Linked DNA regions of Tamandua tetradactyla. The protein of the gene in region 1 interacts with the protein of each later gene in a biochemical or structural test. Links are inferred from orthologs where the notes say so. Each region holds a gene or a part of one and is shown in the gene's direction. Other genes may lie near its edges.

Region 1 (7,749 bases):
AAGCCATGAAAATGTCCAAACAAGAGGTTACCTTCAAGAGGTTACCTTCACTCAAGAAAGGCCAATGAAGTTCAGGGTTTCTCTCTCAACTGGAAAGGTACATGGCGAACATGACAGCATCTGCTAGCCTTCTCTCCAGTCTTCTTGTTTCATGAAGCTCCTCCAGGAGCATATTCCTTCTTCATCTCCAAAGGTCTCTGGCCGCGTAGGCTCTCAAGGTTCTGTGGCTCTCTGAAGCTTTTTCCAAAATATTTCCTCTTTTAAAGGATTCCAGTAAAGTAATCAAGACCCCCCCTGGAATGGTTAGAGTTACATCTCCTTCTAATTAAAGGTTAATACCCACAATTCAGTGCATCACATCTCAGTGAAAATAATCTATTCAAGTTCCCAACCTACAGTGCTGAATAGGGATTAAAAGAAGCGGCTGTCTCCACAAAATGGATCAGGATTAAAATATGGCTTTTATTGGGTTATAATCCTTTCAAACTGGCACAGAGGGCAAAGAGTTTTTATTGCTTAATGAGGGCAGCGTTTCAGTTTGTGGTCATGGAGAAGTTGCTGCAATGGATGTTGATGATGGTAGTACTATATTGTGAATGTAATTAATACCACCAAATTGTAGTTTTGAAAATGGTTAAAATGGGAAATTTTGATTTGTATATACAACAAAAAGTTTTTAAAAAATGGTGGGAAGATACATTTATCATATGGTTGCTTGGTGAGTCTGCAATAAAATGAGGTGAATTAGTAATATGGCTTTAATGATTGGTGTCCTCAAACAACCACCTCAAATAAGGATCGATGGATGAGAAATTCACACTCTGCCCCCTCAACGATTCTAGAGATACATCATCAAATATAGTCATTCTGGATTCCTCTTTTATGGATGGTAAGCAGGCCAACTCCCACTCATTAACACATTTCTTTCTTTAAACAAAAGCACAACACAGGCACTTACTCATCTATGTAGCAATCGAAATCCAGTCGTGACTCCCTGGAGTAACACCCAATCTCTAATGAATTTTGGGTGTTTACAATCTTGTGGCTTATTTCTAAAGATGAGTGATCTTATCTTACACATTTCAATTTTTTTCTTAATTTTGATTTTAATAAGGTAAATGAATTCATTTTGGAAGTCCTTTATCATTGGTCCAAACATATACTTACATTAATTTTTCACATTCTCTTTGATGATAATTAATTACTCTATTATTTCAGACATTGATCTTTATTAGGCTATCCAATTACAATCTAGTTAATGTTACATAATGATTGAGAGCCCTGAAGAAAGAACTGTGTTCATAATCTGGTTCTCCTTTTACTAGTTGAGTGGTCTTGAGCAAGTTTTTTTAACCTTTCTAAGCCTTGTTCTCCTTATCTGAAAAATTAGAACACTCACATTTGAGTGTTGTTTTGAAGACAAAATGAAGTACCATAAATGCATGTAAATGCTTAGAATAGTGCCTGACTAAAGCAATTTTCCTATTAATTATTAGTCCTGAGGCTTGACCTTAGTTTGATAAGATTTGTGTTTTTCCCAAATATTTATTTGCAATCTACCTACAATCACCAAGAAGCTAATATTTTAGTAGTGGAGACCACCAACAATGAATTGATATTTAATATAATATCAGGTTTGTCACCAGAATTTTGAAGGATTCTATATTTCTGAAGAAATATAAAGCCAGGTAAGGGGACAGAGAGTGCCAGGGATGCTAATTTAGATAAAGGCGGCCAAGGAAAAGCTTTGCTCAGGAGATGGTATGTGAACAGAAACCCAAACGAAACTAGGTGAGAAAATATGAGAATGTCTCAATATGTGAATGGGTGCTTGTTATGGTGCTTGTTTGCTGCATCATTTTGGCTCTTAGTCACACGTCTTTATATGGTGACAGAACTATTTATATTTCTATGACTTATATGCCAACCAAATTTTACAGTTCAGGAGGGAAGTGCCTGCTTCCTGTGTCCTTTAAATATCCTTTGGTTACTACATATTTGCCATGAGTACTTCAGTACTTCTTAAATAGTTTCCTGTCATTTCTGAAAATGAACTTAGAATTAGAAATCATTTGAGGAGAAACAAGAATTTGGGAGGTCCTATCAGAGGGAAGTAGCTATGGTATGAGGAAAAAGCGAATCTTGGAGAGATTGGGCTTGAATTCCAGTTTACTCTTTGGCTAATGTGGACTCGGACAACTTTACTGAGTCTGTTTATCCATAAAACGGGGATGATGATATTTAATTCATGTAATTGTTATAAAGGTCAAATGAAGTAATTAATATGGAAGATACTTGGTATGTTATAGGAGATCAATAAATGTTAGTTGACTTCGAATATTTGGAAGTTTGGAGTATCTTCAAAAATACTGGGCTGAGTTTGGTTCTCTGAGAAAAGAATTCTTAAAAATACTCCACTGTAGTAAAAAGTAGAGATAAGAATCTATGTTAATACCTAATGATAGGTAAAATTGAATGAACATCGTACTATGTTCTAAGAACCATTCTAAGCCCACTGCGTGGATTAACTCATTTATTTTTCACATTAGCCACACAACATAAATTATTATGCCCATCTAATACATGACAAACATGAGGCACAGAGAGTCTAAGTAACCTGCTCACAGTCACATGCTAAGTGGTGGACTTGGGGTTACGAACTGAGATAGTTTGATACTAAACTTATGTTGTTAACCACTAAACTATACAATTATAAGTTAAAGGATATTTATTTTATTACAGGCCATCATCTTAGAGCTTTTCTAAAAGAAAATCACTGTAGAAAGTGAAAATAACAAAAATACTGTACAAAAATAGAGTATGACATCAAGTACAAGTATATCCAAGTTTTAACAAAAGAATGAACAACAACAAAAAAGTCTGAACAAGGTTAAAAAAGAAAGGATATCAGATTAGTATTGACTAGGGATTGTTTTAGATTATATCTAAAACTCTGGCCAAACATTAAGCTACTATAGATCACTTACCTTATTACGCAATCTCACATCTTCTGTCTCAAAATCCTCTCATCTTAAGAAAAAAGGGTTGCTTAAAACTGATCAGAGACAAAGTCCCCTAACCTAAACAATATCTAAAATTTCAAAGACTGTCTTAAAAAAAAAATCATGGCTAGCACAATAGCAATATTGTTTAGAAATATATCATAGCAGATCAGATCAATTTGAACATGGTAGAAAAGCCCAGCAAAACAATGACTTTGGTTATCTGCCAGATCTAATCAACATTAGAATGGCAAAGAGGTAATTACATAATAAAAACAAGTTATATGTTTTGTCAAATTATTTAAAATCATGTCCCATGAGTTAATCTATAAAGACAATATACCAGTGTGAGGAATATATTAAGTTGAGAAAAGTGCTTTATATTTAAAGATGATAATCAATCATCCCAGACTTATAAATAGGAAGTACCATGATATTATGATGAGTCAAAGGTAGTTACCTATAAACTAGATAGCTTGATCAAAGAGAAGAGAACTTCAATACCTTACCCTATTTCATAAATTAAACTTTTCATTAACCATTCTTTTCCATAAAGATAAGGGATGTGGTAGTAAGGTAACAAATACAATCTATTTGTGTGGTTTAATAGAGGAATAAAGTATATAAGCCGTCTTCTATGTATATTTCAAATTGGAAACAAAACAAAACAAAATAACCACATACACACATAAAAACCTAATCACCAGGGGGTGCAAGTGTGGTTCAGTGGTAGAATTCTCCACTGCCATGCCGGAGACCCAGGTTCAATTCCTGGCCCATGTACTTCTCAAACAAGCAAGCAAGCAAACAAAGGAAAAGCCAACAAAGAAAAATTCAACAAATGGCGCTGCAAGAAGGGGATACTCACATGGAAAAAGAATAAGATGTGATCCCCACCATACAGCATACAAAAACAAAAAAAACAAAACAAAATAAAGACCTAATCACCAAATCTTTGACATGGCAGAACATAATGACAATAATTAAGGAAAGACACATGAAGTTTCCATAAAACATACGCAACAAGGCATGTGTAAAAGGGAGTGAAATGAAGCTCTGATAGCATACATAAGTATTATAAAAGTACTAGGATGACTGACAAGAGCGGAGAGTTTTGTGATCAAGATAAAAATTTATGTAAGCCATTGTTAAAAACATTTTTAGGGCAATGGTGGTGCAGTGGCAGAGTTTTCGCCCGCCATGCTGGAGACGCGGGTCCGCTTCCGGTGCCTGCCCACGTTAAAAAAAGAAAGAAAAAAAGCGTAAAAACGTTTTTAAAGAACATCATGGCTTTCTGTGCCATGTGGATATTTCCTTGCCTATTTCCTTGATTCTTTACTCTGTTATCTAGCATCATTGCAAAAATAGCACATCTAAGCTATCTATTCAAAGAAGATAATCAGATACTACTTTTAACCAACAGAAAACACCGACATCAACTGTAATCACTTTGAATAGTTTAAGTAACAGTACATAATCTCTGTAAGGAGAAATCCATTTACTTTCATTTTTTAGAATTCTAAGTATTTTAGAATCTACTAGAGCTAGACAAAAGTGTACCTGGTCATCTCTGACATCCAGGCAAACCAAACATACTAACATGCAATGACTGAGTTTTTGTTCAACCTCAATTATGTGTTAGTCAACCCAAGCATCCATTATGTACTCAATAATAGGTGTGACACAGCTTTGGACATCGGCAGCACAATAAGCAGGTAGGCACAGGCAGCCTGCTTGTACTAATTTTTCTGGGGTTACCATTCTTAAGCATGGGAAACAATGATGAGATAGCATCTTCCTTATTAGAACCTTATATTAGCATATTACTAGATTTGTGTGTGTGTGTTAGTAACCCGGCTGTGCAGGATAAGGCTGTCTTGAGAAATGACAGCTTGCTAGCACAATACCTTAGAGGGAAACGAAAAGTATGATGCTAGTGTGGGGACAAATTCGTAATTGGCAGTGACTGCTGTGAACATCGCAGTATTTTCCTGAACATTAACGCCTCTAATGAAGGTAGCGACAATTATATAGAAAAAAAGTCTGGAAATTTTAAAGTTGCACTGATGTACATCATAATGTAACAAAGTATACAAAAGTAAAAATAAAAACATGGTTTTAAACAACAGCAGAGAAACAGCTGATCCTTAAAGGCACGCAGTTGCCTACGAAACATTTATAGTGTCCAATGCATTTTCAAAGCAGGTTACTGTCATTACCACAGCACACCCTTGTGAGGTAAGTGTATGAACCCGTGGCTCATAAATGAAAAAACCGAGGTACTGAATGATTAAGTCACTCGCCTAAGGAGAATGAGTCAACGTCAAGAGTCATAGTTGACCCGGCCTAACGACTCCTGACGGTCAGTCCAGGGCTTAGTCAGCGGGGCCCAGAGTGGCTTCCCTGGCTGGCACCTGGACTTAGGTTATTTCCGTTCACTTTAAAGGAGGATAGTGGAACCGAGAGGACAGAGCTGCCAAATAAGTTTTACTTCCAAGCAAGTTTTGGCCCAGAGGTTTAATCTCAGGATTTGGGTCAGAAAACGCATTCGGGTCCACTCCCCCTCACCCCCAACGGTGGCAAGTGGGTACTGTGGGCGGTTCAGTCCAACTCCTCTCGCAACGAAGGCCATGAGTGACCACCGGCAATAGCAGAGCTGGGGGACGGGGGAGGATCGATTGCTTAAACACAGATTCTCCGTCCATCACCGTCTCTTTTTGAAACTAAAAGAGAAAATGGTGGTGGGAAGTCAAAAGAAAGCTAAATAAATACATAGGCTACTTGTCCTAGGACTTCCAACTAAGCAAATGAAGCCTTATTGTGCGTGCTGAGCCTGCAGTTCCCAGCCTACAGGGGAAGATGGGAGGATAGGGCGACGAAGGGCACAGTAGGCATGCCGGGCAGTAAGTGCGACTGCAGACATCCAGGCGGAAGAGCAGAGGACTGAAAACCACCCTCCGGCAAGAGAGTGTCAGCCGCGCGGAAAACTGCGCACCCTATCCATCGACCACGTGACCAGACTTTTTTTTTAAAAAACTTCTTTGCCCTTAAAAAAAAAAAAAAAAAGGAGACTCCACTTCCCAGAAGCCTCTCGATACTCACGCAGCCGCAGTCTTGCGCAGGCGCCGCCAGGGCCAAACGGACACGTCTGTCACGTGGCAGTAGCCAGCCAATCCGGTTTGAATTTAATTTTTTTCCTCTCACCCCCCCCTCCCCTTCAGGAGCGGTTGTGCGATCAGATCGATCTAAGATGGCGACTGTGGAACCGGTGAGTATCGCTTTTGGCCCCCACCCCCACAGGTCCCCGCGCTCTGGCTCCCTTCGGACAGGGGGACCCCGCGGGATGTCGTTCCCGGCGCGCACGCTACCCTTTACCACCCCCTCCCCCTCCTCTTGGGCTTAACCTGCCCGCCGGTAACTGGGGGCGCCCCGGAGGCTGGCCGCGGCAGCGTGTCGCTCACACGTTCTAGTGGGGGCCGGGGAACTGGGGAAGAAAAACGGGGGAGGGGCGGCGCGGTGCCTCTTGCGGAGCCGCGAGTTGTCTGCAGGGGTAGAGGGTGTTCCGGACCCTGGGCTAGGTGTGTGGATACTGTTTCTTTCGAATAGGAGGGCGCGGGGCTGGCTTAGGGCGGGCGCCAGAATCTGTAGGGAGGGTGGGCGAAGAACCGGCCTGGAACGTGATGGAGGAGGGAGCTCCGGCCAGCCTTTTCCTCCCTCCCGAGTTCCTCCCCAGGGGCTCGGGTATGGGGCACGTGCGAGAGTTTTCCTTCCGTAGACGGGTGGGCTGGGGAGCCAGGGGGCGCGTGTTGTCGGTGGAGGGGTGGGCGGGAGTGGTGCCTTCGCACGCGCGGGGATCTTCGACCTCGCTGGGGGAAGCTGAGAGCGGTGAGCGCATGTTGCTTCAGCGCGCCAGAGAGTGCCGAGTTTGGCGTCGAGGCAGTAGAGAAAGGTGTGCGTGGGGAGGAAAGCCCCGCGTCGTGCTGTGAAGCCCTACGGATGGAATGAGGGGTGGAGGTGGTGAGAAGGGGGCTCACATTGTCCTCGCCCCTCAGTGCTTAAGTCTCGGCTGTCATGGAGGAGGGAAGGGGGAGGAGCAAGGCCTACAGATCGCTGCGGCTGGTCTGATTGCCGGCGGGACCTGCTGCCTTTCACACGCGCCTGCCTTCCATTCATTCATCCTTTTCGTGCAATGCGCACGCCTGAGCGAATGCGAATGGCCCTAGATCCGTGTGTTTTTTTCTACTCTTTATTATCGAAGATTTCTAAGACAACTTACAGGAAATTAAATTTTCCATTTGATTCTGTTCTTAATTTACCCATTCTTTAGGCTTTCCTTTCAATTTAGGCACCATTTTAAATTTAATTGAACCGAGCAGATCCTGAGACAGAGAGTTGATAGTTACCCCTCAAAGGAGTGATTATCTTTGTCATAGTTTGGGTTTGCCGGCACATGCCCAGCGAAGCTTCTGAGTCCAAGCTGACATTTCATGAATGTGACACCTAAGTGACAACATTTTGGGGCATTAGCAACCAGAAAACAATTGACACTCAGTTTCGAACCAGTTCTAGGCCTTGGTTGCCAGATACTTTTATAAATCTATGAAGGTAGTTTGTGATTTTGATATGGTTCGCTAAGTTGTTTTGACTTTATAACTACCTCAAAAATTCTAGTGTTGGAAAGGTCTGTAGAATACAAAAAAACTTTATTTTTTATTACTTTGATGTAAACTTTGTCTTGTTACCAGAA
Region 2 (7,305 bases), on another chromosome or scaffold:
ACACAGGAACATTGTAATAAGTTTGCTTTGGCCAAACCTTAGGCCGGGCCAAAAATCTGATGCAACAGAGAAGGAACTACTGTTCCATTGAAAAGAACAGTCATCAACTTGTTCGTGTATTTTCATGCAGTTGAATTTCCTGGTCTAGTATAGGCAGTCTAAAAAAAAAAACAAAATATTTTAGGCTGCTACAGAAGCCATAGTGCATATCAAGACAGAGGAGGATGCACAGAAATATAGTAGTAACTAGGGAGAATACCATATAAGCTGTACTTTTCTACTGTCATACCAAAAGGAGTTGTTAATCTTCTCTGCCTAGCACCCAGATCATACATACCATGTTTGTTCTGCATGAGACACACCTGGTTCCTTTGTCTTCTAATCTTACATATGAGACAGCTTACTTAAGCTCATTTCTTATTTTGTATTTTGAATTGATTTGGAATATATCACTGGTATTGAAGCTGCTACCTTTGTAGTATTTGATAACCACATCAGTTATTTTCAAGAGGCCTTCTGACCACTTTTTGTGGGAAACAAAAGACCCCTTGGGTTACCTACATATCTTGCTGGTCCCACTTGCCGTTAATAAAAAAAAAAATACCCATTAGGAGTGAAATGAATGAAATTACTCTTGATGAAACATACACTAGTGAGGTAATATTAAAGTAAATTGTTCAGTGGACCAAAAAGGTGAGTTTTGTTCTACTTTAACTATCTACAGTATATTTGGATTGTCTGGAGGAGCACTTTAACCTATAGTCTGTATCTTGAGGACAACAGAATGAGAACTCTTTATCTCCAGTCAGCTAGAACCCATGAGGGAAAAAGGAAGCAATTTTGTTAAAGCCCTAGGAAGATTAGGAAGAAATGGGAACTGTGAGTTGACAGTAGTTCTTTAGGATACTCTCCTCCCTTCCCTTTTACCAGCACTATCTTCCTTTCTTTTTCACTGTTTGGATCCTAGTAGCCTACTCCCCACCCCATTTTGCCTGCTACAATCTCTTCTTCCTCTGTCTGCCTCTTCCTGGCATTACTTTACTACTATTTTACAAACCTGAACGTTGGATAAAACCTAGCTCAGGTAAGAACTTAATTACTTTCAAAATATACACGGGATTTGGGGGTGGGAATGAGGGTGGTAGAATGGATAACTGGAATAAGAGTCAGAAGCCTAAATTCTATTTTTAGTTCTGCCACTGGCATACTATAGGGCTTTAGGCAAGTCATTTCACCTCTGTAGGCTTCATTTTCCTCATTGGAAAATGAATTTAAATGAACTCAAATGTGTGCCCTAATTCTAACACAGATTTTTTTTTTTCTTGTGAATGAGAATATAAGGTATGGGGACAATGGAAGCTATTAGAATGTTTACAGTGCTGAGGTTTGAGAGCCCCACCATTGGTTCTGACATGGAATCAAAAGTCTGCTGGTAGCGGTTTCAATTCCTAGACCATGCACCCCCCCAAAAAAAATTCTGCCAGTAGGGCCAGTATTGATTTTGAGATTTTGGTGGTGACAGAAAAAAGCCTTACGTATGCTAGAGAGCCCTCAAGTAATTAAGAAACATCCTGCTGAGGCAAAAATCAAATCCCCTGACAGTAACAACTCTTTCAAGGAATACAACTATATCATCAAGGTTTCTGGACCCACTTATTTCATGTAGTATTCAATATAATAAAATTCCAACACCAATAAAATTGACTGTTTTTAGACCCTTTAAACCTACTGTGGCTACAGTGTGCTGACTTGCCCTTTTATAGGCCAGTCTGCTTCCTTCAGTCCCTGCTCTCAAAGGGGAAATCCTATCACCTCAGCTAACCAGACCGAAGAAGAGAATTGGACAACCAATGGTGGCCTCTCCTAACCAGAGGTAAGAAATCTCAGCACATAGAACTGCAATTTCCTTCTGTTCTTGTTGATTCTGGTCAAATCCCCCTCTCACCCTCAAAACTTTTGCCTAAAGCTATTATCCTGAGCTTGAGTTGGCTTATAGAAGAAAGAAATAGTCTGGTCATATTATAGTTTCAAGCCAATCCAAGAGGAATACTTAGTATACATGGTTCTATCACAAAGTTTAAGACCTTTGGACCACATGTAAACGCAGGTAGAGGCAAACAAGTCTGTAGAAAAATAGCTTCTGAACATCTTGTTCTTAACTCTGTAAAACTCTTCTACCAAGAAGTGCTTTGGTTGTGACATCTTCCCATTGGACCCTGTGCTGGAGTGAGGGGCTCTGATAACACTGCATTTTCTATCCTCAAAAGTGTGTCATCTGCCAACAGGCAGGTTTCTTCACCTTCCTTCTCTCCTGTAACAAATGAGTGAGAAAATGTGGTTTTAAGTATCCAAAATTTAATGTTTTAAGACTATCTAAAATACAGGGCAACAGCCTCAGCTTCAAGACCTGATTTGGGAAATAAGATCATGAATCAAACAATCTGACAATAAATCTATTTTGGATTACTTTTTTTTTTTTTTTTCACATGGGCAGGCACCAGAAATCGAACCTAGGTCTCTGGCATGGCAGGCAAGAATTCTGCCACTGAGCCACCATTACACTGCCCTATTTTGGATTACTTTTTTACTTCCTGTTTTATCTTAATGATATAGTGTGAGTCAAAAACAGTTGAGATGAAAATAAGTAACCTACTGCCTTGTCTCTCTCCTCTTGATTTCTTTCTTTGTGCCCAGTATTTTCATACCACTATCCCTTCATCTTAATCAAGGGTTCCTGATCATGGCTACCCCACAAAATCAGCTGGAGAGCTTGAAGGAAAAAAAAAATTACAAGAGCCAGACCCACTTCAGATGATTAAATCACATCTTTGGGGGGTGGGGCCTGCCATATGTATTTTTTTTTAAGCTTCCCATATATTCATGTGTAATCAATGTTGACCCTCTGACTTAAACTCTTGTTCCTGCATTCAGGTTGCATAGATGATGAATCTAGTTTTTTCTTAAAAGCTAACTACCTATTCTCTAGTCCTGGCCCTTATAGCACACAGCATCTCAAGAAAACTTAGCTACTAGCAGTAGTCTTTATAGTAGTAGTAACTACTGCTATTGATTTTTAGTAGAGACTAGTAAAAGGAAGACTTGACTTCCATGTTGATACTTCCTTGAAATTCTTTGAAACTGTTCTCTCCTAGTACTCTTATTTCTTCTGACTGGTCTTTCTCAGTCTTCTTTTGGAAGTAAATAAATGTTGATATGCCCAAGTATCTTCTTATATGTTCTCTTTAGGTGATTTCATTCCATGTGAATTTCACGCCACCCAAATCTATAAACTAGCCTAGACTTCTCCCGCTAAGCTTCAGACCAGTATACCTAGCTCCTTACTATGCTTCTACATCTGAGTGTTACACACACACTGTGCATTCCCCAATATAAGATCTGCCCTTCCTCCTATTTTCCCTATTATATTATGTGGTACTGCTAGCTGCCCAGACTCTCAAGCCAGAAAATTGGGAATTACCCTCCCTCTCCCTCACCACACTCTTAATCATCCCTATCCTTCTTCCTCTGTGTATCTGAATCCCATCTACTTCTTTCTGTTCCCACAGCCACTGTCCTTTTGCTGACCCCATTTCACTAGACTGGTCTCACCGCCATCATTCTCTCTGCCTTCAACCCCCTCCCTCATCAGACTACTTATTCACCTTTCTTAAAAGCTGAGTCCTCCTAGATGGTCTTCACAATCTAATACCAAGCCTTACCTCCAGTACTGCTAAGACATTTCATTTAAGCATGCACTACTTTGTAAAAGGCTCAAAGCCTTTTGGGAACAATAAAATATACATACCCATGCTACTAGAAGTGTGATCTGAGGGCCAGCAGCATATGCATCACCTAGGAGCTTATCAAAAAATGCAGAATTTCATTAAAATGAGATTAGAATCCTCATTTTAGCAAGATTTCCAGGTGATTCATATGTACTTTAAAATTTGAGAAGCACTGATTTATAAAGTATGCTTTTTTATTTTTAATGAGTGAGGAAATCCAGCTTAGAGAAAATCTGATGAAACCAGAGCTGAGGCAATATTGTTAAATGTATGCAGTAAGGTGATATACTTTTTTTTAGTAGGGGCGATAGTTGATTTTGAGGAAGTCAAATAAAGACACCTGGAACTGGTTCAAATTTTCAGTATCTGTTGGTACTAAAGTTAGTATTTACTCTACTCTCCTTCCTCATATCACCCCCTACATCAAAAAAGTTACCTCCAAAGCCAAACTCTGTGACCTTCGTTTCCAGGAACTAAAGACCAAACCCTCATCATCACTTGGCTCCCTAGTTTCATGAGGTTAATGGTGGCAAAGAGATCAAGAGAAAGCCTGCCCAATAATTGAGTGATGTTCTCAATTATTCCCCAAGTTTTACTCATCTTTTTCATCAGTCCAATATCACTTCCAGAAAGTCCCCTCCCTTCCTGATCTTCTCCTTCTGCTATGCTCTAGGCCAACACGGCACTTTCATTCTATACTGTAATTGATTGTTTATAGGAGGCATTACACACATCTGTACTGAAGGGCACAGGCTCTGGAATCAGATATAACCAGATCCGAATCCCAGTTGTCCCAGCTACAAGATGTACGACTTTGAATTAGTGACTTAAAACTTCTGGGCTTTAATTTTCTTGTCTGTAAAATGTGCCTCACCTGTCCCCAGCGCCCAGCAGTAAGGAAACAGTAAATAGCTAAGCAGTTGCGTCGCTTGAAGGCCCGTGAGAGGCTTGGGAGTTAGAACCCTTGCAGCACTCGCCAAGCTCCGAGCTTGCTCCCTTGCGGGAGGGGCGGGGCCATTGTGTTGAGTGACGGCGGTGACCCGCCCCGGGCGTGACGTCGCCCTGGTGTTGTTACAGCCGCACGTGGTCGGCAGGGTCCGCCTCAGGCTCAGAGCTGAGCTCACCGTCCTCAACACCAGACGCTTGCTTTCCTGCTCCACCCGCTCGCTATGTCCACGTCCACTAGCTGCCCGATTCCCGGTGGCCGGGACCGGCTGTCCGACTGCTACAGCTCCACGCCGGGGGGCACACTATATGCCACTACTCCGGGAGGTCAGCGTACCGGGCTGGGGGTTGCAGGCCAGTGTGCTTGTGCTGCCGTGGGGCGGGGGTGGGGAAGTGCGGGTTCTTCAGGTCGTAGCTTTGGGGGAGGAGGTTCGGAGCAGAGGCCTTGATCCATAAAACCTTGAAGTGATGTAGCAAGACCTTGAGCCTACCCTCTTGATGATTGGGTTGGAATCCTTCACTAGGACCTGGTTTCTGTCCACGTGTTTTCCCACGCACCCTTTGCGATTTTGCTGTCTTGGGGTACCGTCTGAGACCCCAACAGAGCATGACCCTAGAAGCAAGCACTAGGTTTTGCAAAGGGGCTGGGCAGAGGAGCAGGAGCTGCACATATTATAGGGGCTATCTGGTGCTTGATTGGGTGAGCAGCCCCAATGACAAAGCTGCTGGGCTCCAGACCTTGGGGTTCCTGCCACGTGGAAGCAAAGGGGAGGGGCGAAGACAGGGCAGGGCTCTTTGAGGACATGATGCCAGGCCAAGATCCTCTAGGCTGGGCTGAGCCTTATAGGACATTAGGCAGGTCAGGATAAGAACAGTTTGTCCCTGTGTTTCACAGCTCCTCCCTTTAGGGTGTTTGTCCAAGTGAAAGTACAGGTAAACCACCTTCACATTTGCTTTAACTTCCTGATTCTGAAGCTGGAGGGCTAGGTCCCATACTGTGATCCAAAACAAGGAAGTCGCAGAGCCAACAGATAGATGAGCAGCCTGAAGTGTCTGATCTCCAAATTAGGCTCTCCTAGAACCAAGACCTTAAGTAACCTTAAACCTAAAGCACCTGCCTAGACCAGCCAGACACCCCACTTAGTTTATAATGCTTAGCTCCACCTTGGTTAGGCCCAGAGGATTTTAAGTACTGGGAAGTCCAGTCAGCCAAGATCCTGCCTAGGCTGCAGAGCAGAAGCCCTTTGATGCACAGGGAAATGTAACTCCCAGGTCCCCAAAAGGCCCATGTCCGGGGCCACAGACAGCTCTGTATCCAGGCTCCTGCCTCTTCTTACCTCAGCCCCTACTCCTTGGTCCTTGACAGGCACCAGGATCATGTACGACCGAAAGTTCCTGCTGGAGTGCAAGAACTCGCCCATTGCCCGGACACCCCCATGCTGCCTTCCTCAGATTCCCGGGGTCACAACTGCAACAGTCCCACCCTCCAAGTTGGAGGAGCTGAAGGAGCAGAAGGAGACAGAGGAAGAGATACCCGGTAAGGAAAACAGGACCTAAAATTAAGAAATGCCCCTGCAAAGTAAAGTAAGGGTTCAATTTAAACAGAATTTTCTGCACTGGTCCTAAGCCTGCAGACCCAGTGCCCTCAGCACAGCAACCAGTCCTCCTGCCTCTTCTCTCTCCAGATGACGCACAGTTTGAAATGGATATTTGATGCAGTGCAGATGACCTCGTGTGTGGAAATATAGAGGGATCTCTCATGCCGTTTGCTACTGCCATCATCTTCATCTCTGCCTGGGATATCCAAAGGCCAGCTGGCCTCATCTAATATGAAAGGGAGTGTCTTGCTGGTCCTTGGCCTCCCTTAGTTCTGAGGCAGCTAGACCAGGGATTGGAGTTTGGGCAACTCAACAAGCCCTTATCTGTACTTTCTCTTTGGTCTGTAGGCCTCTGCTCAGGAGCTGGTACTAGGGGGTGGAGTATATCACCTTCTAACTGCTTAGTAAACATTCAAAGAAATGCCTTGGCTCCAGTGTCTCCTCAAGTGCGGATCTTCCCACTCAGCCACAAAGTAAGAGAGTTTGTGGCCCAACAGGCCTAGTTAGGATAAGAGGCCTCAGATCCCTTCCCAGCCCCCACTGGGCCCACTTCCAGCAGCACTGCATGCCTGAGGCAGGCTACGTGAGCTGCCAAACCATAAAGAGCAGTAGGCTGATCCCTGCCAAAGGCTGTTCCCATCTTTCCAGGAAGCAGCCTTCCTGTAACTAGACCTCCCCAGCAGGCTTTCCCTATCCATTCCAAAGCAGGATACTTGAGAAATAGGTACTGTCTCCAGCCCTGTGCACATCCCATGCCTTTTCTGTTCCCCACACCCACTCTGCAATCCTTCTATCCCAGCATTGAAAACCTGTACCCTCCTTTCTCACAGCATGAATACCCACCAGGATCCCTGCCACTCAGCAAAGTATAGAACTCAGGATTAGAAAAGACTTTAGGGCCCAAATGAGGCCCACCCAAAATGAGGAAGCAACTTGTATGGTGAGTCAGATAAAGTGCCAGGATCTCAAATCTCAAG
Region 3 (7,760 bases), on another chromosome or scaffold:
ATTTGCCCATCTCTTAATTGGGTTGTTTTGTCTTTTGTTATTGGGTGGTAGGAGTACTTTATATATTAAAGATATTAAACTTTTATCAGACACAGGGTTTCCAAATATTTTCACCCCTTCTGAAGGTTGTTGGACAATTGATTTTTGACAAGGGTGCCAAATCTATTCAATGCGGAAAGAACTAAATGGTGCTGGGATAACTGGTTATCCACATGCAGAAGAGTGAAAGTGGACCCCTACCTCAGATCATATAAAAAATAACTCAAAATGGATTAATGCCCTAAATATAAGAGTTAAAACTTCACTCATTAGGGAAGTACAAATATATACATATATAAAAACATAAAACATAGGAAAATATCTTATAGTTCTGTATTAGGAAATGGATTCTTAGACTTATACTGAAAGCACATGCAACAAAAGAAAACATAAATTGGGCTTTGCCAAAATTTAAAACTTCTGTGTTTCAAAGGGCATTATCAAGAAAGAGAAAAGAAAACCAACAGAATGGGAGAAAATTTTTGGAAATCACATATCTGAAAGGATTCAATATCCAGAGTACACAAAGAACTCCTACAACTCAACAACCAAATAAGCCTTTTCTTTCACCAACTTTTTCCAAGGTAGTGAAGATACCAGTAGACTCTACAACATACTCAGCACCAGCACCACCCCATTTGATATTGATAGGCTCTCACTTCCAAAATCTAGTCTTGGGCTTCCCATTAACAACAAGTGTCCTGTTCTCAGCCTTGATCATGCTTTTGAACTTGTCATGGGTGGAATTACACTGGAATATGTGGACCACGTTGTTGAGGTCAATGAAGGAGTCTCTGATGGCACAATCTTCACTTTGTGAAGCCAAATCCATTTACCCTGACCTTTACCATCATGTCTCAGGGATGTTGCAGGCACTGCACAGGCAGATGTGGCTATTGGTCAAACGGTGAGGAGCAGAGAGCTTGACTTTCCTTTTTTTTTTTTTTTTAACATGGGCAGGCACCGGGAAACGAAACCAGGCCTCCCTCATGGCAGGCAGGAATTCTGCCACTGAGCCACCGTTGCACCACCCTGATTTAGCTTTTAATATAAGTAACTATGGGGCTACAATTTAACTTACAGGTATGTACAGTAATTATTGGGCTACCTTTCTCTCTTTCCAATTAGATGTAGCCTCATATTCTTCTCTGTGGGCCTAGCACAGCACCTAGCACATAGCCGTCATTCAATAAATACCTGTTAAATGAATTTTAAGGACTATCTCTAGAGGCATGGAAGGGAGAAATGGCCAATGCTTGAAATGGGAAAAGCCCAGAGGGGCAAACCCACCTCTTAACCAGTAGATAGAACAGATAATGAGAAACATTTTGACCTACCAGTGAAGAGACATCATTAGTTTCAGTCCTGGAGCTGCCACTCACTTGTATATGATCTTGAGAAAATTTCTTCCCTTCTTTGGGTCCTATCCTTAAAATCAGGAAACTAGGCAAGGTAATTCTGAAGAGTGTTTTTGCCTTGAATTGACTCTATGATGATACTTTGTTCTTCCCCTTACTTCCTTAGCCCAATTTCCAGGAAAGCTGGAAATTTTGGGCAAAGGGGCAGGGCAGTTTGGCCCCAGGAAAACTGAGACAGCAGCAAATCAAAGAAGCTGAGACTTTGCCCTGGAGGGAATAGGGAAGGACCTAAGGTTTTTTGAGGCCTACCATACCTCAGGCCCTGCTGCTATTTTCTACAAACTCCTTTAATCCTTGCTTTCATCCTTTAGAGACAGACCAGTGCTCATTCTGCAAATGGTCTCGATAAGGTAGGAAACATGCTTAAGCTTAAGGTTGTACCGCTTGTCCGTAAGATTAGAATCCAGGTCATGCGCCCAACCAATCTGGGAGACAGCGTGGCTCATCTAGATGAATGTGGAATTTAGTTTCAGGCGTGACTCTGTCCTTTTCTGGCTGGGTGACCTTGGGCCCTTTGAAAGGAACAAGCACCCTCACATGCCTTTCCACCAGTGGGCCCTGCGGTGTCTGGAAGGGCCTGCTTGTTTAGTTCTTTACTTGAAGAAAATTTGTGGCCTATCATGAACATGCTTGTAGTTACAGGGATGGGGCAAAAACATTTCTCTACTTTTCCCATGGGGCCTTCTCTATACCCACACATTAGATGGGTATCTTGCAGTCTCTCCCATCTTGGTCTTTCTTTTTTTTTTTTTTTTAACCTCTTGGCCTCCCATCTCTACTTAATTGTCTAGGGTCTAGATCTTGGGTCTCCAAGGTCCATGCTCAGCTCTACCCTCTGTGGGCCAATGTTTACATGTTTTAGTGGAGCAACTAATGACAAACCAACCCCACTGTGATTAATAAGGATGGCTTCTCTTTGCATAAGGTGACTTGTTTTTATGCTAACAGGCTAGTTCTCTCCAACAGGAGGACTGAAGGGGCTAGAAAACCCTGCTTGCCATAGCACTTTTTAAGTTTTCTTGTGAGCTTTAAGTAGTGGAAAGTTGAGATTACCAGGTCACCTGGTTTGTAAAGATTATGTCACCAGGATGCTGTAAACCAAGTCACACAAACGTCAATTCAGAAATGAAGGGATTCTTTCTGAGCCCAATCCCTGGTTCACTAAGAGAGACAGAACCCTGGTCCAATATGCTCATGAATAAGTAAAATACCATCACCCACCCATGAGGAATGTATAAACCAAGTCTCAGGCTGTCTTCCAGCTCTTCAGATGAAGATGGAGAGGTATGTTTATTCTTGGGGGAATACAGGTCTCTGCCAGAGGCAGCGTGGTGGGCTCTGGGAATACTGGATGCCTGGACAACCATACAATGCTCCTCTGGGGACAACCAATGCCTGCTCCAGAATACTGCCATCCTTCTCTCTCACTATGCAGTGAGATCCAGTCTGGGCTCTGGATGACTGTGGCTCTGTCACGTACACTCTTCATGTGACCTTGGGTAAGTCTCTTGTCCATGTAGGACACAATTTTCCCAGCTCTTAAATAATGTGTTGTGTGAAGGTATTGTGCCTTCCTATGCCTGTTTCTTCATTTGTAAAATGGGTAGTATCTATTTCACAAGACTCCATGAGATAATACATGAAGCACTCAGTGCCATGCCTGGTAATCATTATTACCTGGATTGCTTGGAGATCCCTGCTATTCCTTTCCACTCAGTGTCACTGTCTCTAGGAAAAGGCCCTGCTTGTGGTGGAGTGGGAGCCGGTGCGGAGTGGAGGTTAGGGCATGTGGAGAAGGGGGGATGCTAAGTCAGTTCACCTATGGAGAAAAGGAATTATTTGATGGCAAGTTACCAAGGTTATCAACAAGTGTTATCCCCGCATAAGACACTAGGGGAGGTGATGACTGACTGATGGCCAAAGGGCCTTCAGTCCTGGGGTAGATCTTGGGAAGGAGATTCACAGAACACTCAGATCATGCCCCCAACCAATCTGGGAGGCGGCATGGCTCACCCAGATGAAGGAGGAATTTAGTTCCAGGCCTGGCTCTGTTCTTTCCCGGTCGGGTGACCTTGGGCCAGTCATTTTTACTCTGAGTCTCAGGGCCTTCAGGAAATGGTGCGCCTTATTCCGTTTACCTCTCAGAGTGTATGAGGATGAAATGTCGACATAATGGATGGGAAATACGTTGTTAAGGGCTGGCGAATGGCATTTGTTATGCTAATAATTCCAACGCAGCGGGTTCCAGTCCAACGGGTTTCATTCTGTTTAAGCGGTTCATTCCCCAGTAACCGAGGTTTCTCGCCTCACCGCCTCTACGCCCCTGCGGGCAGGGCTCTGCAGACCACAAGCTCTAGGGCCGACACCATTGTTCTTAGACGCTCGGCCGCAAGGAGGGCCCCAGCAGGCCAGATTTCGCTTTTGGTCTCTCCTCCCGCCCAGAGCTCCCTGCGTCGATCTATCCCGAGGAAACGAGCCAGCCCCAGAACGCCCCCGAACGGCGGCCGAAGACGTACTCGAGGGTTTCCGAAGAGTCCCGACCGCTCGTGGTTTCCGAAAACAGCCGAAGAGGCTTCCCATCCTCGGTCTTCCGAGCCACTCCGAAAAGACCCGAAGTTTTCCGAGCGGCCGTCCTGCCGGACTGCTGGAGGCGGCCGCAGCGCCATGTTGGATGCTCTGCTCGTTGAGTGAAGAAAATCCGCCGGCATCGCCTGAGCCCCGTAACCGAGAAGGGCGCCGCTTCCCCTGGGGAGGGGGATAAAGACCCCCGCCGCCGACCAATGAGGATATTGCCGTGAAAGGTCCGGTCTCTCCGCCTCCTGTCCCCGCCGGGTCCGGCCCCCCCCCCTGGGGTCGCGTTGTCACGGAGACCGGCAGCCGGTGGTGCTGGCCCGCGGGGCGGCTGCTGCTGCCGGCGGCGGCGGCGGCGTCGGCGGCGTCGGCGGCGGCGGCGGGCGTGTGTGACCGGCCCCGGCCCCCTCCTCTTCCTTCTCCCAGCCTTTCCCCGAACCCCCGCTCCCGCCGCCTCCCCGGGTCTGCCCCCATCCCGCCCCCCCGCTGCCCCCGGCCCCTGCACCCCGGCGCGCCCGGTCCCGCTCTGGGGGGGTTGGTGGCTTCGCTTTGCCATGAGTTTACCGCAGAAACCGGCTCTGAAATCAGGCTCAGCGGCTGCAGCAGGAACCGGACCCGGCACCGGAGCGGCGGCGGCGGCGGCGGCGGTAGCAGCAGCAGCAGCGGTACCGGTACCGCCTCCTCACCCGGCAGCAGCAGCGGCGGCGGCGGCGGCAGCAGCGGCAGCAGCGGCAGCAGCAGCGGCCCCTCACCCGAACATCAGGGCCCTCCAGACCCAGGCGCCCCAACAGTATCCTTTTCACCTTCCTGCCACCCCTTCGACTCGCTTCGCTGTAAACCAAGGGGGTTGTGGCCCCCTCTGGGGACCGCCCTGCCTGCCGCCACAGCGCAGCCAGGAAAGGGGCTGCCTTTCAGGCCCCCGTACCGGGCTTGGCCGGAGCTTTTGGGGTGCCCGGACAGCAGCACTGCGGGGGACCACCGGACCCTCTGCAATACTGTGAAAACTAGCTCCACCAGGCCATGCTTTTCTGCCGTCCTTTCCTCCGAGAGCTGGGGGACCCTTCTCCCTTCTCTCCTCCTCCTTCCTTAACCCCCACCCCCCCTTTAATTAGGCAGAATTTCCTGGTAGCCTGGGACCAACACTGCAGGGAAGGATTTTCTATGATTGTTGTGAGGACTACACCCTCCTCCTACACCCTCTTCACCTCCTTTCAGCTCCCCCTGCAGCGGGGTTTAGTGGGCTCCCCTAATTATTATTATTATTAATACATAATAAACTTTATTGGTAAATTTATTTGAAACTAAACAGCTCGTTGCCGAGGTAAGTCGGGTTTTAAATCTACTGTGAACATTTACAGAAAACTCGCCCTTGGCCAGTGTTTTTTAGCGATTTGGGAACGTTGCGATATGGTTTGCGGTGAAATGCGACCTAAAGAGGAAATGTTACACCGGACACTTCCCTGTCTTTGACCTTTTTAAAGGAAGAGGAAGTTAACTGACATTACCCACCAACCCCAAAGTCTCACTTCTTGGAAGGCTTGTGTTAATGTTGAACATTTTTAAAGGGCTTTTCAGAGGCTTATGGTCTAGAGGGTACCGGGGCTCATGAAGAAAAGTCTAGTATTGAATGTGTCTAATTTCATGTTATTTACTCGATTGTAGAATTTTTGGACAGCTTTGATTGAAAAGATTTGGTGGCAAGTTATTTTAGTCAAAAACTAGCCGGTGAAGGTAAAACGTTGAATTCATGAAGTCCACGGAGATTTAGAAAGGTATTACCTACCTGAGACTATTTCATCATGCACTCCGTCCCCATCTGTTGTATTTGTGTAAATCAATAAATAATCATTGGATGTTAGATGTGTTGTGTTTTGTGTTTGTGTCATTGTGTGTTTGACTTTCAGAGAGAGGAGGGTGTTTGAGCAATTAAGAAACCAACCGCTGTGAGGCCCACAGATTATTTCACAGTCTAGTTTGATTCTTGTCAGTATTGATTACATTGAGAAGGGAGAGGCATCCACCCTTTTGAGTCATTTCGGGTCATTGTTTTGCTTTTTGTCAAGTGTCATTTTCTGTGTTTTACATATTGTTAGTTTACATTTTTCAATACAGGCAGTGTGGCACAGGGTATAAAGATAAACTCTATTCCAGTGTGATGTGTTTACTGATTTCATAATGTTTTTACCCTGCATGATTCTGTTCAATTAAGAATTGTTCACTAATGTGTTTTTTTTTCCCTCTAAGAAAGGTAGTGATGCTTTAGTGTTGCTAGTGGAAACCTGGTTAGTTTTGATCAATGTCCCTCGTTGCTTTACTGTGAGGGAAGAGGTTGGCTTGTTTGCCTACTTCAAGGCCAGGTTTCAAGTGCTGGATCTCACATATCTTCATTTAATACTTTGTGAATTTAAATTCTTTTCATTTTTTTTTCCTATTGTCCGTACTTAGGGTTGTAAGTTTCTGTACTGTGCCACCAAGCAAATTATTCATTAATTGATTTTTGAACTATTTTGGTAGTTAAACAAATGTAGAGAATCACGTAGTGTGAGCTCTTGATGTACGAAGTAATAAGACCACGGTGCTGAATATGACAGTGCTTAGTGGATTTGGTGTGCTCTTTGGACACAAAGGATTATGACTTAAGTATTTCAAGTGTGCTTTTTCTCAGTTCTCAGAACTTTAAAAGTTCTGAGTTGATTGCAACAAAAAAGTAGTTACTATAGCTGCAACTTAATTTTCTTTAGAATAAAGAAAGCAAATGTTAAAGGGAATAAATTTAAGACATTTCTGATGGAGATATTTTTAAACATCGTGGTAATATAGGATACTTAGTTTTTCTGTGGTTTTAAGATTGTGTTTTGCCTTATACAACTTAGAAGCTAAAATTAATTTTTCTCTTGATGTACTTCACAATGGTTATCTTCTCTTTGCTTTATACACTGAAATGTTACAATTGCTTAAATTTAAAAGCTTAAGTAAATGAAGTATGGGCTACAGATTTCATTATAATATGACAGTGGTAAAGTGTTTATACTGGTAATGGGGGATTGATTAAAAATTTATCGAATAAAGCAATTCTGTAGAGTGATCAAGTTCAGTTACAATCACTTTACATCTTAGGAACCAATACATTGTATTTTTTTTCATAGCAACTAAATTGGGTGAAAAAATCTAACAAATGACAGTACTTTGTGTTTATGCAAGGTTTCTGCTTTTCTCTCCCCAGGGTTGGGGGGGTAGGAATTTGTATTTGATGCAAATGGTTATCACAAGATAAATTGATAACATTGAAGCATTGAGGTTGAGGGTATGGCTGAAATTGTTTCCTTGATTTGAACAAGTATTCATTCCCTCAGTTCCCTAGATATATGGGTATAGTTGTGTTTGAATTAGTAAATTCATGCAGGATTTTAAATTTGTAACAGTTTGCATGTCAGGTGTTCTTTATTTGTACTTAGTGTCAAATGACAAATAAGAAATGAAGGGAAATGTTAGCATTAGAGGATATGAATATAAACAAACCTGCTAAGTAGGCTTCAGTATTGCACTCCAGGGCCCAAAAGGCCTGTTTAAGTAGAGGCCTTTGACTCTAGAGGCAATACTTGTGTCCTGGGAAGGTAGGGAGCAGGGATGCTGGAAGAAGAAGATATACCCTGATATAAGAAATGCTAAAGGCAAGAAAAAATACGCATAAGTTTTGCATAATAATCCAACTTGAAACTTATAGTTTATGGC

The links. The genes of interacting proteins can lie anywhere in the genome.
Region 2: the proteins of EIF4E (region 1) and EIF4EBP3 form a complex in vitro, tested with the Homo sapiens proteins (2 studies listed by IntAct, with this or other methods). The link is inferred for Tamandua tetradactyla from reciprocal best matches to the Homo sapiens genes EIF4E and EIF4EBP3.
Region 3: the proteins of EIF4E (region 1) and EIF4G3 form a complex in vitro, tested with the Homo sapiens proteins (3 studies listed by BioGRID and IntAct, with this or other methods). The link is inferred for Tamandua tetradactyla from reciprocal best matches to the Homo sapiens genes EIF4E and EIF4G3.

What each region holds. Positions count from the first base shown.
Region 1 is NC_135350.1:26,667,365-26,675,113, forward strand, and holds the start of EIF4E (eukaryotic translation initiation factor 4E), read left to right. Parts: upstream 1-4,660; 5' UTR 4,661-4,717; intron 4,718-5,205; exon of another isoform or gene 5,206-5,240; intron 5,241-5,325; exon of another isoform or gene 5,326-6,223; 5' UTR 6,224-6,252; coding exon 6,253-6,270; intron 6,271-7,749. UniProt on the Homo sapiens protein: Acts in the cytoplasm to initiate and regulate protein synthesis and is required in the nucleus for export of a subset of mRNAs from the nucleus to the cytoplasm which promotes processes such as RNA capping, processing and splicing.
Region 2 is NC_135346.1:20,592,570-20,599,874, forward strand, and holds EIF4EBP3 (eukaryotic translation initiation factor 4E-binding protein 3), read left to right. Parts: upstream 1-4,875; 5' UTR 4,876-4,954; coding exon 4,955-5,057; intron 5,058-6,096; coding exon 6,097-6,267; intron 6,268-6,415; coding exon 6,416-6,444; 3' UTR 6,445-6,749; downstream 6,750-7,305. UniProt on the Homo sapiens protein: Repressor of translation initiation that regulates EIF4E activity by preventing its assembly into the eIF4F complex: the hypophosphorylated form competes with EIF4G1/EIF4G3 and strongly binds to EIF4E, leading to repression of translation.
Region 3 is NC_135328.1:205,157,033-205,164,792, forward strand, and holds the start of EIF4G3 (eukaryotic translation initiation factor 4 gamma 3), read left to right. Parts: upstream 1-4,704; 5' UTR 4,705-4,818; intron 4,819-7,760. Other genes in the region: uncharacterized protein LOC143674792, read right to left, coding at 3,773-4,165. UniProt on the Homo sapiens protein: Component of the protein complex eIF4F, which is involved in the recognition of the mRNA cap, ATP-dependent unwinding of 5'-terminal secondary structure and recruitment of mRNA to the ribosome. Functional homolog of EIF4G1.